Sus scrofa: one gene and its partner. The protein of the gene in region 1 purifies or fractionates together with the protein of each later gene. This does not show direct contact. Links are inferred from orthologs where the notes say so. Each region holds a gene or a part of one and is shown on either strand. Other genes may lie near its edges.

Region 1 (7,066 bases):
ATCACAGCGAGTTATAAAGCACTCTTTCCCACAAAGTTAGGTACATTCTGGTGTATATTTTTTAAAACTTTAATTATTTTTAGGTACATTTGGGGGGCATCTTAAAATATATTGTCCTATCATATATCATAATATATTAGCATGCCATGTGTACCAGTAGTTGTAGTAGTGGTTGTGTTCTAGTGGTTGGAGATGACTTCACAGCAGTCTCTATGGTGCTCTCTAACCTTGGTGTCTACCTCTTATAGCATTGAGGTCAAAGAGGCAGTTTTGCAGCCTGTGTCTGCTTTATGCCCTTTTTATTCTTTATGGTTTTTTAATAGGTTCATTATTTTTTTATTATTATTATTATTTTAGCTTTCTAGGGCCAAACCCACGGCATATGGAAGTTCCCAGGCTAGGGGATCAAACGTGCATCTTCATGAACACTAGTCAGATGTGTTACCACTGAGCCACGATGGGAACTCTTAGGTTCATTATTTTTAAATCATGGAGTTTGAGGAATGAGCCTTGTAAGAGGAGGAATTTATTTATTTATTTTTGTCTTTTTGCCATTTCTTGGGCCGCTCCTGCGGCACATGGAGGTTCCCAGGCTAGGGGTCTAATCGGAGCTGTAGCTGCCAGCCTACACCAGAGCCACAGCAACGCCGGATCCGAGCCGCGTCTGCAACCTACACCACAGCTCATGGCAACGCTGGATCGTTAACCCACTGAGCAAGGGCAGGGATTGAACCCGCCACCTCATGGTTCCTAGTCTGATTCGTTAACCACTGCGCCACGACGGGAACTCCCTAAGAGGAGGAATTTAAAGTGAGATGGCATCATAACACTTAAGGGTCGGCCGTAGACCTGTGTTCTCATCCACCAAGCTGAAAATCATTACTGCCAATAATTGAAGTCTCAGATAGGGCTCTGGCCATATACTGGTTGGCGTGGCAGGGCTCATCACGGGTGTCAGTTCACAAGTGCCTAGAAGAAGCGTAGCATTCTGTCAGTAGTGTAAAATTGTGTGATTCAGTGATTCTCAAAAATGACTACATGAGTTAAGCATATAACCTAAGCTTGTTGGTAAAATATCTTCTCTTTCAGGGATGATATTGCTGATTTAGTAGAAGCTAAAAAGTTGCTTAAGGAAGCTGTGGTGTTACCAATGTGGATGCCAGAGTTCTTTAAGGGCATTAGGAGACCGTGGAAAGTAAGTTTACCACTATTATGGCATCGTCAAAGCAAATGGCAGGTGCATGGCTGTAGAAAGCCATTATTTATCTGTATTGGGGTAAGTGAGAGGAGAAAAGAGTAGGTAAAGAAAATTTCAACTTGAAAACTATATTGTGTTATTCAGAACTTTCGACTGAAAGCTATTGCAAGGTTCCCAGAATAAGAAACAGGTGGAGTGAGGTCTTTGGAAAGTTGGACACACAGCAGATTTATAATGAACTTATATTTGCAAATATGAACACGTTGCCTAATCCAAAAATAATCCATTTTATGTGTCATGTTGTAGAACTTATATCTGTATTTCTTGGAATTGTTCTTAAGAAATTAATAAGACATATTTGGATCTCATGAGTACTTTTTTTTTTTTTTTTTTCTTTTGTCTTTTTGCCATTTTCTTGGGCCGCTCCCGCGGCATATGGAGGTTCCCAGGCTAGGGTTCGAATCGGAGCTGTAGCCACCGGCCTATGCCAGAGCCACAGCAACGCGGGATCCGGGCTGCATCTGCAACCTACACCACAGCTCACAGCAACGCCGGATCCTTCCCCAACTGAGCAAGGGCAGGGATCGAACCCACAACCTCATGGTTCCTAGTTGGGTTCGTTAACCACTGAGCCATGACGGGAACTCCTCATGAGTACTTTTTAAAAACCATGTGCTGGTCCAAAAAAAGACTCTCCAAAACACTCTTGGATTTGGGAAATGTGCTAATGACTAACGCTGTACATTGATTGATTGATTGGTTGCTTTTTAGGGCCACACCCACGGCATGTGGAAGTTCCCAGGCTAGGGGTTGAATTGGAGCTGTAGCTGCTGGCCTACGCCACAGCAACTCGGGATCCAAGCTGTGTCTACCACAGCTCACGGTAACGCCGGATCTCCGACCTACTGAGCAAGGCCAGGGTTGAACCTGCATCCTCATGGATACTAACTAGTCGGATTTGTTTCCACTGCACCACCATGGAACTCCCTGTACTTATTTTTTATTCTTGAAATGTTCAGTGAAAAGCAGAATACAAAATTATAGACCTACTTTGAGTCCAACTAAGTAAAAAAAACAGTATCTAATTTGTTTGAGTGAAAAGACTAGTAGGAAATGGATCCAGATACTAATGGCACCTGTGTTAGGGTATGATATAATATCAGTACATTAATACTTATTATATTTCTTCTCTTAGTTCCAGATTATTAATAATAATGTATGACTTCCTTGCCTTTATAATGGAAAAATTACATTTGTGATAAAGTATCCTTCTTTGTCTTTTGTCCTAATATTATGTGTAAGTTGGTTGAAAACTGATCCTTAGTAATGGAATTCCTGTGAATTAGAACAATGGTGGATAAATCTTTTGCTGATGCTCTTCTATTTCCAACAGGGAGTGTTGATGGTGGGCCCACCTGGTACAGGAAAGACCCTTCTCGCCAAAGCGGTGGCTACGGAATGCAAGACAACATTCTTCAATGTCTCGTCATCAACCCTGACTTCCAAATACAGAGGAGAGTCTGAGAAGCTTGTTCGTCTTCTGTTCGAAATGGCAAGTGTTTGAGACGGCGCTAATGATTCTTTACTACTAAAAGGGGAGAAAGTGGAGTTCCCTTGTGGCTCAGCAGGTTAAGGATCCAGTGTTGTCACTGCAGCAGCTCGGGTCACTGCTATGGCACGGGTTCTGTCCTGGGCCTGGAAACTTCCACAGGCTCTGGGTGCTGACAGAAAAAAAAAGAAAAGAAAAAGAAAGAAAAATGAATGTAATTAAACTTTCTTAGAGGGAATCTGTGTGATTTTATTTAAGGTAGTGGTTCTCTTTAACAAATTTTTCCCTGGAACTTCAGAACACTTAGCAGTGTCTGTAAATGTCTTCCCACCATTGTTATCCCTGTCACTGTAGTATACAGATAATCCTGTATTCCTATGACTCCTAAACAAATAGATAGAACCAGTTACAGTATTCAATAGCACAAAAAGTGCCATTAATATTTAAGTATATAATAAGTCCACCTTAGCAGCTGTAATTTAGCTTTTCCAGCTCTGTCTTCCCTCCCCAGTATTAGGACAAAAGAGACAGCTGCCCAGTGTGGCAGACTCCTGAGCTGTTTTCTAATTGCTAAACTATAGGTTACTTTTGGGTTTGGGGGGTTTTTTGTTTTGTTTTGTTTTGTTTTTGCGTTTTTAGGGCTGCACCCGAGGCAGTGGAGGTTCCCAGGCTAGGGGTCTAATTGGAGCTATAGCCACCAACCTACGCCAGAGCCACAGCAACGCCAGATCCGAGCCATGTCTGTGACCTACACCACAGCTCACAACAACACCGGATCCTTGACCCACTGAGCAAGGCCAGGGATCGAACCCGCAACCTCATGGTTCCTAGTCAGGTTTGTTTCGCCTGCGCCACGACAGGAACTCCTATAGGTTACTTTTGAATGAAATAAAAACCTGGTTTCTTTCTTTAGGCTCGATTTTATTCTCCAGCCACCATATTTATTGATGAGATAGATTCCATTTGCAGTCGCAGAGGGACTTCTGAAGAGCACGAGGCAAGCAGAAGGGTGAAAGCCGAGCTGCTGGTTCAGATGGATGGTATGCATGTGTATCTGCGTGAACTGACTGAGCTCTCCTCCTAGTGCCAACCCACACATCCAGATAACGGGAGGGGCTGCCAAGTAGGTCCTGGAGATGGACAGCGGTGACACACCGGAAATAATGGCTCTTCATTCATAGGACACACACACTGATCTCATTTTTAGCCATGAAATTGAAATAAATGCAGATAAATTGGCCTTAGAAAGGGAGATGTATGGTTTTGGTTTTGAATAATTTTTTAAATTGCTGTGTAACTAAGCTGAACTGGCCTTTTTTTTTTTTTTCCTTTCCTATTTTGGCTGCCCCATGGCATATGGAGCTCCCTGGCCAGGTATCAGATCTGAGCCACAGTTGTGACCTATGCCACAGCTGTGGCAATGCTAGATCCTTTAACCCACTGTGTCGGGCTGGTGATCAAACCTGTGTCCTGGCACTGCAGACAGGCCACCAAACCCCTTGCATCACAGTGGGAACTCATGAATTAGTCTTTTGATTAAAACTATTTTAAGTCATGTTTTTCGCATACTTACAAAAACTTATGCTTCTCAGGACCACAAATTCATTTATGTACTAGTTAGCTTTATTAAGTCTTAAGGAGGCTTGATGATTATACTCCTTTTATTGTTGTGCTAAGTATCTGATGATCTTTAAGTAGTTGAGCTTTGTTTTGTGTCTGTTTTACCATATTCTTACCCTTCGTTAAGGTGTTGGAGGTGCTTCTGAAAATGATGACCCTTCCAAAATGGTTATGGTTCTGGCAGCTACTAATTTTCCCTGGGATATTGATGAGGCTTTAAGAAGACGTCTTGAAAAAAGAATCTATATCCCATTACCATCAGGTATCTTCATTTGAATCAGAAAGCTCATATTAACTCTTAGTTTTGCTTAGAAATTAAGAATTTTGGTATTAATGAACTTTTTTTTTTTTTTTTTTTTTTTTTTGTCTTTTGTCCTTTTAGGGCCGTATCTGCGGCATATGGAGGTTCCCAGGCTAGGGGTCGAATTAGAGCTGTTGCTGCCGGCCTACGCCAGCGCCACAGCAATGCCAGATCCAAGCCATGTCTGCAGCCTACACCACAGCTCACAGCAACACCGGATCCCTAGCCCACTGAGCAAGGCCAGGGATCAAACCCACAACCTCATGGTTCCTAGTTGGATTCGTTTCCACTGTACCACAAAGGGAATTTCTGAACTTTCCTTTAAAAGACAAATATAGGATGTCTTTCCTTATATTAACTGGTTTGGCTATATCTGGAGCCTAAAGCCTTGATACTAGGGAATTTAAAATTCAGTAAAGGAGTTCCCATCGTGGCACAGTAGTTAATGAATCCGACTAGGAACCATGAGGTTGTGGGTTCGGTCCCTGCCCTTGCTCAGTGGGTTAATGATCCAGTGTTGCTGTGAGCTGTGGTGTAGGTCTCAGACACGGCTCGGATCCCGCGTTGCTGTGGCTCTGGCGTAGGCCGGTGACTACAGCTCTGATTCGACCCCTAACCTGGGAACCTCCATGTGCCGTGGAAGCGGCCCAAAGAAATAGCAAAAAGACAAAAAAAAAAGACAGATAACATTTAAAAAAAAAAAAAAAAAATAAAATTCAATGAAATAATTCTATTTAAAAAAATTAATTAAAAATTTTAAAATAAATTCATTGAGGAACAGCTCTTAAATTTTTGAAGCAAATAAGCTGTAAGAATTGGAAGACAAATTCTCGAGGTGGACTGGAGAAAAGTAAAACATTACTTACGTTGAAGGCTTACATTTTAAAATTTGTTTCTACCATTAGCAAAAGGCAGGGAGGAGCTTTTACGAATCAGTCTGCGTGAGCTGGAACTGGCTGATGATGTTGATCTTGCAAGTATAGCAGAAAACATGGAAGGTTATTCTGGTGCGGACATTACCAACGTGTGCAGGTATGAACTGTTTTGGAAGCATAGGCTTTTGTGGGTATAAACTCACAATAGTTTTCATGCTGAATTAAGATGAAGAATAAAGACCCATATTATAATCTAGTTAGAGACCTAAGTTTTGGTTTTAAGTTAGGGTCAGGTAGTGCTGATAGGTCATTTGGGTGTCTTGCATGTCAGTGAAGTAGCTACAGTTTAAAAGCTACAAGTTCAAGAACCTAATGTTTGAACAATTGGTGTAAAATTTAGAAAATAATTGTCTTGGATCAGAAAGATTCATGTTAGTGCATTCATTCAGCACACTGTTACACAGAAAATATAATTTGAAATAGGTTGATGTGGCATATTGAAGGGGAATACAATCTCGTTTTCAGTGAGTGTCCCAAATGTAATAGGAACAGCAGTAAAAAGGAAAGGCAGTCTCTAATCCAGCTGATTCAGGTAGGTTTTTTTCTAAGTATTAGTTCAGGCACCTATTAGCAATGTGTAGCAATGACTACACTGGTTTATTCATCTCTAAAGTTAAGTGTACCATGCAGGGCTGTTAAGACTAGCAATAACGTGTATGAAACAGCTTTGTTGCCGTCCTTTTGCACAAATGGTGACCGCTGTTAAGGATGAAACTGAATGAAAGAAAAGAGTTGAATCTGAAGTTTCTCCTTTAAGAAAAAATAGCACTAATACAAAGGGGGGAAGGGAGAGACCTCCTAACCTGATCAGCTTTTCTTACACATGTAGTAGGAAATATTTAATTTTTTTTTTTTTTTTTTTGTCTTTTTGCCTTTTTTTTTTTCTTGGGCCGCTCCCACGGCATATGGAGGTTCCCAGGCCAGGGGTCCAATCGGAGCTGTAGCCAACAGCCTACACCAGAGCCACAGCAACGCTAGATCCCAGCCACGTCTGTGACCTACACCACAGCTCACGGCAACGCCAGATCCTTAACCCACTGAGCAAGGCCAGAGATGGAACCCGCAACCTCATGGTTCCTAGTCGAATTCGTTAACCACTGAGCCACAATGGGAACTCCAGGAAATATTTAATTTTCTAGCTAACAGATTCTGTACTGTCTCTGTGATGCTCATTACTTTATGTTACACTTTTAATAAAATTCAGTTGCTCTCTTTATTATATCCTTTTACTTCTTGGGCTTTTGGCTCAGTGTCAGTTCTTTAAAATGAGTAGCATTTCATAATGGAAGATTGAACTGCTAAAAAAAATAACTCAGAACACGCTTTGTAGTCCAACACTGGATTCTCTGCAGTACCACATATGTGTGTGTAATAAGATAATTACAGAAGAACACACACACACTGGAAAATTCTGTTCACAGGTTTTTATTCAAGCAAAACGTAATTTTATGATTTCTTGGTTT
Region 2 (7,342 bases), on another chromosome or scaffold:
TTAACCTACTTTCTTTTTCTTTTCTTTTCTTTTTTTTTTTTTAATGCTTTTTAGGGTCACACCTGTAGCATATGGAAGTTCCCTGGCTAGGGGTTGATTCAGAGCTACAGCGGCCGGTCTACACCACAGCAAAGCAGGATCCTACTGGGAGATTCCTGCGCCATAGCAGGAACTCTGTCTTTCCCCCTTTTTAAATCTCTACTGGCCAACTTGCCATTCTGCATATTTATAACAGCTTGTCAATCATTTCATTCCATCGCAGGTAACTCTTTCTTAGAAAAATGGAATAAACTACTGATTCAAATTTAGTAAATCCAGAAAACTGTCTTCAGGAGTTACAATCTCTCAAATAGTCTGAAATTAACTGGCAGTGAATTATTTTGCTAGTAGAATATGGCAAAGGAAGAAGCCAATAACATAACAGAAATAAAGTTAAGCTTATACAAAATAACTTACCTCAGAAAAAAACCCACTATATTTTGATGATGGGCTTTCTGTCTGTGACGAACTAGAATCACTGGAGTTAACCGAATATGTTCGACTATCATGGCGTAATTTTTCAGGGAGGTGGCCTGCACAAGCCAGTTCATTTTCTTTATTTGCCATGTCACAGCCCCCACTTCTAGGGGACTGTTTTCTTCTGTAACAAGGGTTTGGAAAAGGATGATGAACTTTCTTTCTGCGATAGATCACCTTACGTAGTTTATCTGGGCTTTTCACAGCTTGACCAACTGTTCTGTAAAAAGAATTAATTTTCTTAAATGAAAAAAAGAAAAACACGTGAAAAGCTTTAAAAGTTTTTAAAGAGAAAGATTTAGTAGGCCACATTTTGTGATCACAATTCACTAAAATCAGAAGTAAGGGGAATAATCTTTTAAAAATCTTAACTCTTAGATTGAAGAGGAAAATAAAAGGCAAATTACAAACCATATGGAAAGCAATGAAAGGGATATTTTGTACCAAAAGAAAACAAACAGCCATAACAACTAGATGCTTTAAAAATATTACAGGGTATTCAGGGAATATGAAAGTTCTAACAATTTCTAGTCACTTATTCTTTTTCTAAGTGACATAATTATTGTTTAAGTTTGAATATTTTAATTTGAATTATTCAAGTTTGAATATATATTGTAATACATAATAAAAGATAACACTTATTTTGATTACGTTGAAGTATATTTAATTTTTTTTTTTTGTCTTCTTTTTAGGGCCACACTCATGGCATACAGAAGTTCCCAGGCTAGGGGTTAAATCAGAGCTGCAGGAGTTCCTGTCGTGGCGCAGTGGTTAACGAATCCGACTAGGAACCATGAGGTTGCGGGTTCGGTCCCTGCCCCTTGCTCAGTGGGTTAATGATCCGGCGTTGCCGTGAGCTGTGGTGTAGGTCGAAGATGCGGCTTGGATCCTGAGTTGCTGTGGCTCTGACGTAGGCTGGCAGCTACAGCTCCGATTGGACCCCTAGCCTGGGAAGCTCCATATGCCGCAGGAGCGGCCCAAGAAATGGCAAAAAAAACAACAACAACAACAACAAAAAACCAAAACAAAACAAAAAAACAGAGCTGCAGCTGCCAGTCTACACCACAGCCACAGCAACACTGGATCCAAGCCTTGTCTACTACCTATACCACAGCTCAAGGCAACACCTCATGAATAACTAGTCAAGTTTGTTACTACTGAGTCACAAAGGAAGTCCTTAATTTGTCTGAATAAGATAAAACATAATAAAGCACATCTCATAATTTAGTATAGTGGTTATCAAATGTTTTGGTCTCAGGATTCTTTGCACTCTTAAAAATTACTGGGGTCTTAAAAGAATTTTTTTATGTGGGCAATATCTGAATGAGAAACTAAAACTAAGAAAATTTATCAATTCATCAAAAATGATAAACTCATTATATATTAACAATATTAAAAGAAAACTTTAGGAGTTCCCATCGTGGCACAGAAGAAATGAATCTGACTAGGAACCATGAGGTTGTGGGTTTGATCCCTGGCCTCGCTCAGTGAGTTAAGGATCTGGTGTTGCCATGAGCTGTGGTGTAGGTTGCAGATGCAGCTTGGATCTGGCATTGCTGTGGCTCTGGTGTAGGCCAGTGGCAACAGCTCTGATTAGACCCCTAGCCTGGGAACCTCCATATACTGTGGGTGTGGTCCTAAAAAGACAAACAAACAAAAACTTTATTTTCTAAAACAAACAAAAAATACAGTGAGGCATTCCTGCTATGCTGCAGTGGGTTAAGAATCTGACTGCAGTGGCTAAGGTCACTGCAGAAATGCAGGATCGGTTCTCAGCTCGGCACAGTGGGATAAAGGATCTGGCACTGCTGTAGCGGCAGTGTAGGTCTAAGCTGCAGCTTGGATTCAATCCCTAGTCCAAGAACATCCACATGCCACAGGAATGGCCATTAAAAAAAAAAAATACGGTGAAGAGTTCCCATCGTGGCTCAGCAGTAACGAACCTGACTAGTATCCATGAGGAAGCAGGTTCTATCCCTGGCCTTGCTCTGTGAGTTAAAAGATCCGGTATTGCCGTGAGCTGTGGTATAGGTCACAGATGTCTCTTGGATCTGGTGTTGCTATGGCTGTGGTGTAGGCCAGTAGCTACAGCTACAATTTGACCTGTAGGCTGGGAACTTCCATGTGCTAAGGGTGCAGCCCCAAAAACATGAAGAAAAAGACAAAAAAACAAAAACAAAAAACAATGAGAAGAATGGCACTTGTGCAAAAATCTCTTAATATCTGGTGCAATTTTACATTTGTACAAAATCTCTAATACCTGGTTTAACAGAAGTCAGCTGGATTCTCATATCTGCTTCTGCATTCAAACTACTGAGATATTAAATATCATGCAGCCTCTGGAAAACCCTAATGTACACTTATAAAAGAGTGGAAATGAAGAAGGTGAATAAGGTCTTAATACTGTAAAGATAGTTTTGACCTCACAAACTCCCTGAAAGGGCTTCAGCGACCTCCAGATCCTCACATCACACTTTGAGAACCAGAGGTTTAGCAGAAAGGACCTTTAGAGTTTGGCAAATCTGAGAATAAATGCCATTTTAACAAACTTCTGGATAAGCGACCCTAAAGAAATCATAAATCCTTAGTTTTCCTCACCAACTATTTGGGGTAATGATACTGATCTATCTAATACTGATATGTTTATTAGCACAGTGCCTGGCACAAAGGAGCTGCTTGAAAATAAATTAATATTAGTATAATGAAAGAGAATATTTTTTCCCCTATTTTCATTCTTATCCAGCTTTTAATATTTGCTATTTCCCACAAACCCCCTTTTTATTTTGGCCATAGCCGCGTGCAGCAACCTGATGTAGGATTTCAGTTCCCAGAACAGAGACTGAACCTGGGCTGCAGCAGTGAAATCACCAAGTCCTAACCACTAGATCAGCAGGGAATTCCCACCCCAAACTTAAAAGAAGCTCTTACCTAGTTATGTAAGCAGCCAACTGTTTTGGAGATTTCTTAACCTGAAAAATAAACGTAGATAGTTGCATTATATTTATGTTCTTCAACAAGGCTATGTAAACTTTGTGACTGATATCAACAGGTATGAAATTCAACAGTTTAAAATTTCAGATTAAAGCTTTTACTGTTCTAATGCTGTACTCTGAATCATTAGTTACAACAACATTGTATGGAGGTATTTTTGACAATGCAGTACGTCCATCTTCCTAGTTTCCATGCTCCTAGTCACAGACTGTGTACTTACAGAGTGTTTATTAATAAGTACTTACAGATTGCTTATTAATAAGTGGGTTGAATTTACATGTATATATATATTTGGCTGCACCCGTGGCATGTGGAAGTTCCTAGAACAAGAATCAAACCTGTGCCACAGCAGTGACTCAAGCCACAGCAATGACAACACTGGATCCTTTAACCATCAGGCCATCAGGGAACTCCTAATATAGTTTTAAGAAATAATATCAGGGCTAATAAGCCTTGCAATGGTGAGCAAATAGCACCTATGCGATTCCTCTAAAATTAAACTAAAATATTCAAATTATACCATATCAAAACTGGTCAGTACACTGGCCAAAAAGTTTTTAGAGCTTTTGGAATATAAAGAGTTTTCAATTATTTCATAATTCTACTTAATTTTGGCAGCATTCAGCAGAACTGTTACCCTCCCATTGTTTAAATACTTTAGCCAAAACATGCATAGACTTAGTAGTTTAAACTGTCTGTGCCAAACTGAATTTCTCTGTCTTGCCAAAATTCCTATGTTGAAATACTAACTCCCAGAGTGATGGTGTTAGGAGGCAGGGCTTTGGGGAGGTGATTAATCACAAGGGAAACACTTCATGAATAGGATTAGTGTCATTTTAAAGAGAGCCCAGAGAATTCTCTTTCCCTTTCTACACTGTGAGGAAGTAGAGAGAAGTCAGCCATCTAAAAACCAGGAAGTGGGCTGTCACTGGATACCAACTCTGCTAGGGATCTTGGACTTCTTAGCCTCTGGAACTGGGAGAAATAAATTTCTGCTTTTATGAACCACCCAGTCTATGATATTCTGCTGTAGAAGCCTAAACAGACTGAGATACTGTCTTACTCACTCCTAGAAACCAGGGGACTTACCTCCTTCATGTTCTTATTAGTGAAATTAGAGATCCTTTTTCTAGGAAGATCAATGGAATGATCCTCAATATTATTACAAGAGTTGCATTTTTTAACATTGTGGGTTTCAGAGGCCATAATCTCTTAAATACCTAGACAAAAAATAAAAATAATAAATGGAAAATACAAAAAACCAAAAGACCCTGATCCCATTCTTAACACATATGCAAAAATATACCAGCCCTATGCTATGTGAAAAACAGGCTTAAGAGTAAAGCAGATAAGATTTAGACAAACCTCATTTTACTGCACTTCACAGTTATTGTGACTTTCTGTGTGCGTTTGTTTTTGTCTTTTTAGGGCTGTACCTGCGGCATATGGAGGTTCCCAGGCTAGGGGGTCTAACCAGGGCTGTAGCCTCCGGCCTATACCAAAGCCACAGCAACGCCAGACCTGAGCCTCGTCTTCAACCTACACCACAGCTCATGGCAACACCATATCCTTAACCCACTGAGCAAGGCCAGGGATGGAACCTGCAACCTTACGGTTCCTAGTTGGATTTGTTTCCAATGCACCATGACAGGAACTGCTTTAAAATTTGGGGGGGGGGGCACTTTTTAAAATAAGTTGAAAGCTTGTGGCAACTTCGTGTTGATTAAGTCTGTTGGTACCATTTTCTCAACAGCATTTATTCACTTCATGTCTGTGTCACATTTTGGTCATTTTCACAATATTTCAAGCATTATTATATTTGTTTTGATAATTTATGGTCAGGGATCTTTGATGCTACTTTTTGTTTTCAAGCATTAGGAACTGTGTTCATATACAACATGGTGAACTTAATTGATATATGTTTATGTTCTGGCTGCTCCACTGACTGGCTATTTCCCATCTCTCACCCTCTCCTCAGGCCTTCCCAATCCCTAGGACACAACTACACTGAAATTAGGTTGATGAATAACCCTACAATGGCCTCCAAGTATTCAAGTGAAAAGAAGAGTTGTAAGTCTCTCCTTTCATTTATGTATTATTTTTCTTGGCTGCACCATGGCATGTGGGAATTCCTGGGCCAGAGGTCAAACATGCACCACAGCAGTGACAGTGTCAGATCCTTAACCCACTGAGCCATCAGGGAACTCCAGCAAGTCTCTCCTTTTAAATCAAAGTTAGAAATCAATAAGCTTAGTGAGGAAGGCATGTCAAAAGCTGAGAAGGCTAAAAGTGAGGCCTCTTGGACCAATTAGGCAAGTTGTGAATACAAAGGAAAAGTTCTTGAACACACAAATGGTAAAGGAAAATAGTCTTATTGTTAATATGGAGAAAGTTTTAGCAGTTTGGATAGAAGACCAAACCAATCAAAACATTCCCTTAAGCCAAAACCTATTTCAGAGCAAGACCCTAACTCCCTTTAATCCTATGAAGCCTGAGAGAGGTAAGAAAGCTGCAGAAGTAAAGTCTAAAGCTAGCAAAGGTTAATTCATGAAGTTTCAGGAAAGAAGCTGTTCTGTAACATAAAAGTACAAGGTGAAGCAGCAAGAGCTAATGTAGAAGCTGCAATGAATTATCTAGAAGATATAGATAAGATCATTAGCGAAGGAGGCTACACTAAATGACAGTTTTCAGTGTAGATGAAACAGCCTTCTGTTGGAAGAAGATGCCATGTAGGACTTTCATAGCTAGAGAGGAGAGGTCAAGCCTGGCTTCAAAGCTGCAAAGGACAGGCTGAGTCTTATTAAAGGTTAAAGCAGCAGGAGACTGTAAGTTGAAGCCAATGGCCATTTACCATTCTAAAAATCCTTGGGCCCTTAAGAACTATGCTAAATCTACTCTACCTGTACTCTATAAATGGAATAACAAACCCTGGATAAAAGCACATCTGTTCACAACATGGTTTACTGAATATTTTAAGCCCACAGTTGAGACATACTGCTTAGAAAAAAAAGATTCCTTTCAAAATACCACTGCTCATCAACAATGCACCCAGAACTCTGATGGAGATATACAACGAAACTGTTATTTTCATGTTGCTGACACAGTATCTATTTTGCAGCCCATGGATCAAGGAGTAATTTCAACTTTCAAGTCTTATTACTTAAGAAATATATTTCATATGTCTCTATCAGAGTAAACTGGAAAACTTCTGGAATGGATTCACCACTCTAGATGCCATTACAAACATTTGTGATTCATGGAAAGAGGTCAAAATGTCAACATAAACAGGATTTTGGAAAAGTTGACTCTAATACTCATAGATGACTTTGAGGGGTTCAAGACCAATGGAGGAAGTAACTGTAGTGGAAACAGCAAGAGGACTGGAATGAGTAGTAGAACCAGAGGATGCGACTGAATTTCTGCAATTTCATGATAAGACTTCAATATATGAGGAGGTGCTTTTTCTGCTTGAGCAAAGAAAATAGATTCTTGAGACGGATTCTACTCCTGGTGAGGATGCTATGACTATTAGCTGAAAATCTGTTGAAATGACAACAAAGGATTTAGAATATTACAAAAACTTAGATGATAAAGCAGTGACAGGGTTTGTGAGGATTGTCTTCAATCTGGAAAGAAGTTCTGATGTGTGTAAAATGCTATCAAACAGCACTGCATGCTACAGCAAAATCGCTTGCAAAAGGAAGAGCCAATCAATGTGGCAAACTTCACTATTATTTTAAGAAATTGCCACAGCCACTCCAATCTTCAGCAACCAGTCGCCTGATCAGTTAGCAGCTATTAACATTAGGCAAGTTCTTTGACCAGCTAAAAGATT

The links.
Region 2: the proteins of KATNA1 (region 1) and KATNBL1 purify together in Homo sapiens (affinity purification with mass spectrometry; 3 studies listed by BioGRID and IntAct, counting the BioPlex papers as one, with this or other methods). This does not show direct contact. The link is inferred for Sus scrofa from reciprocal best matches to the Homo sapiens genes KATNA1 and KATNBL1.

What each region holds. Positions count from the first base shown.
Region 1 is NC_010443.5:16,353,354-16,360,419, forward strand, and holds part of KATNA1 (katanin p60 ATPase-containing subunit A1), read left to right. Parts: intron 1-1,089; coding exon 1,090-1,195; intron 1,196-2,591; coding exon 2,592-2,750; intron 2,751-3,660; coding exon 3,661-3,787; intron 3,788-4,494; coding exon 4,495-4,629; intron 4,630-5,573; coding exon 5,574-5,700; intron 5,701-7,066. UniProt on the Homo sapiens protein: Catalytic subunit of a complex which severs microtubules in an ATP-dependent manner. Microtubule severing may promote rapid reorganization of cellular microtubule arrays and the release of microtubules from the centrosome following nucleation.
Region 2 is NC_010449.5:80,334,191-80,341,532, reverse strand, and holds part of KATNBL1 (chromosome 15 open reading frame 29), read right to left. Parts: intron 4,728-7,342; 5' UTR 4,714-4,727; coding exon 4,597-4,713; intron 3,486-4,596; coding exon 3,445-3,485; intron 737-3,444; coding exon 457-736; intron 1-456.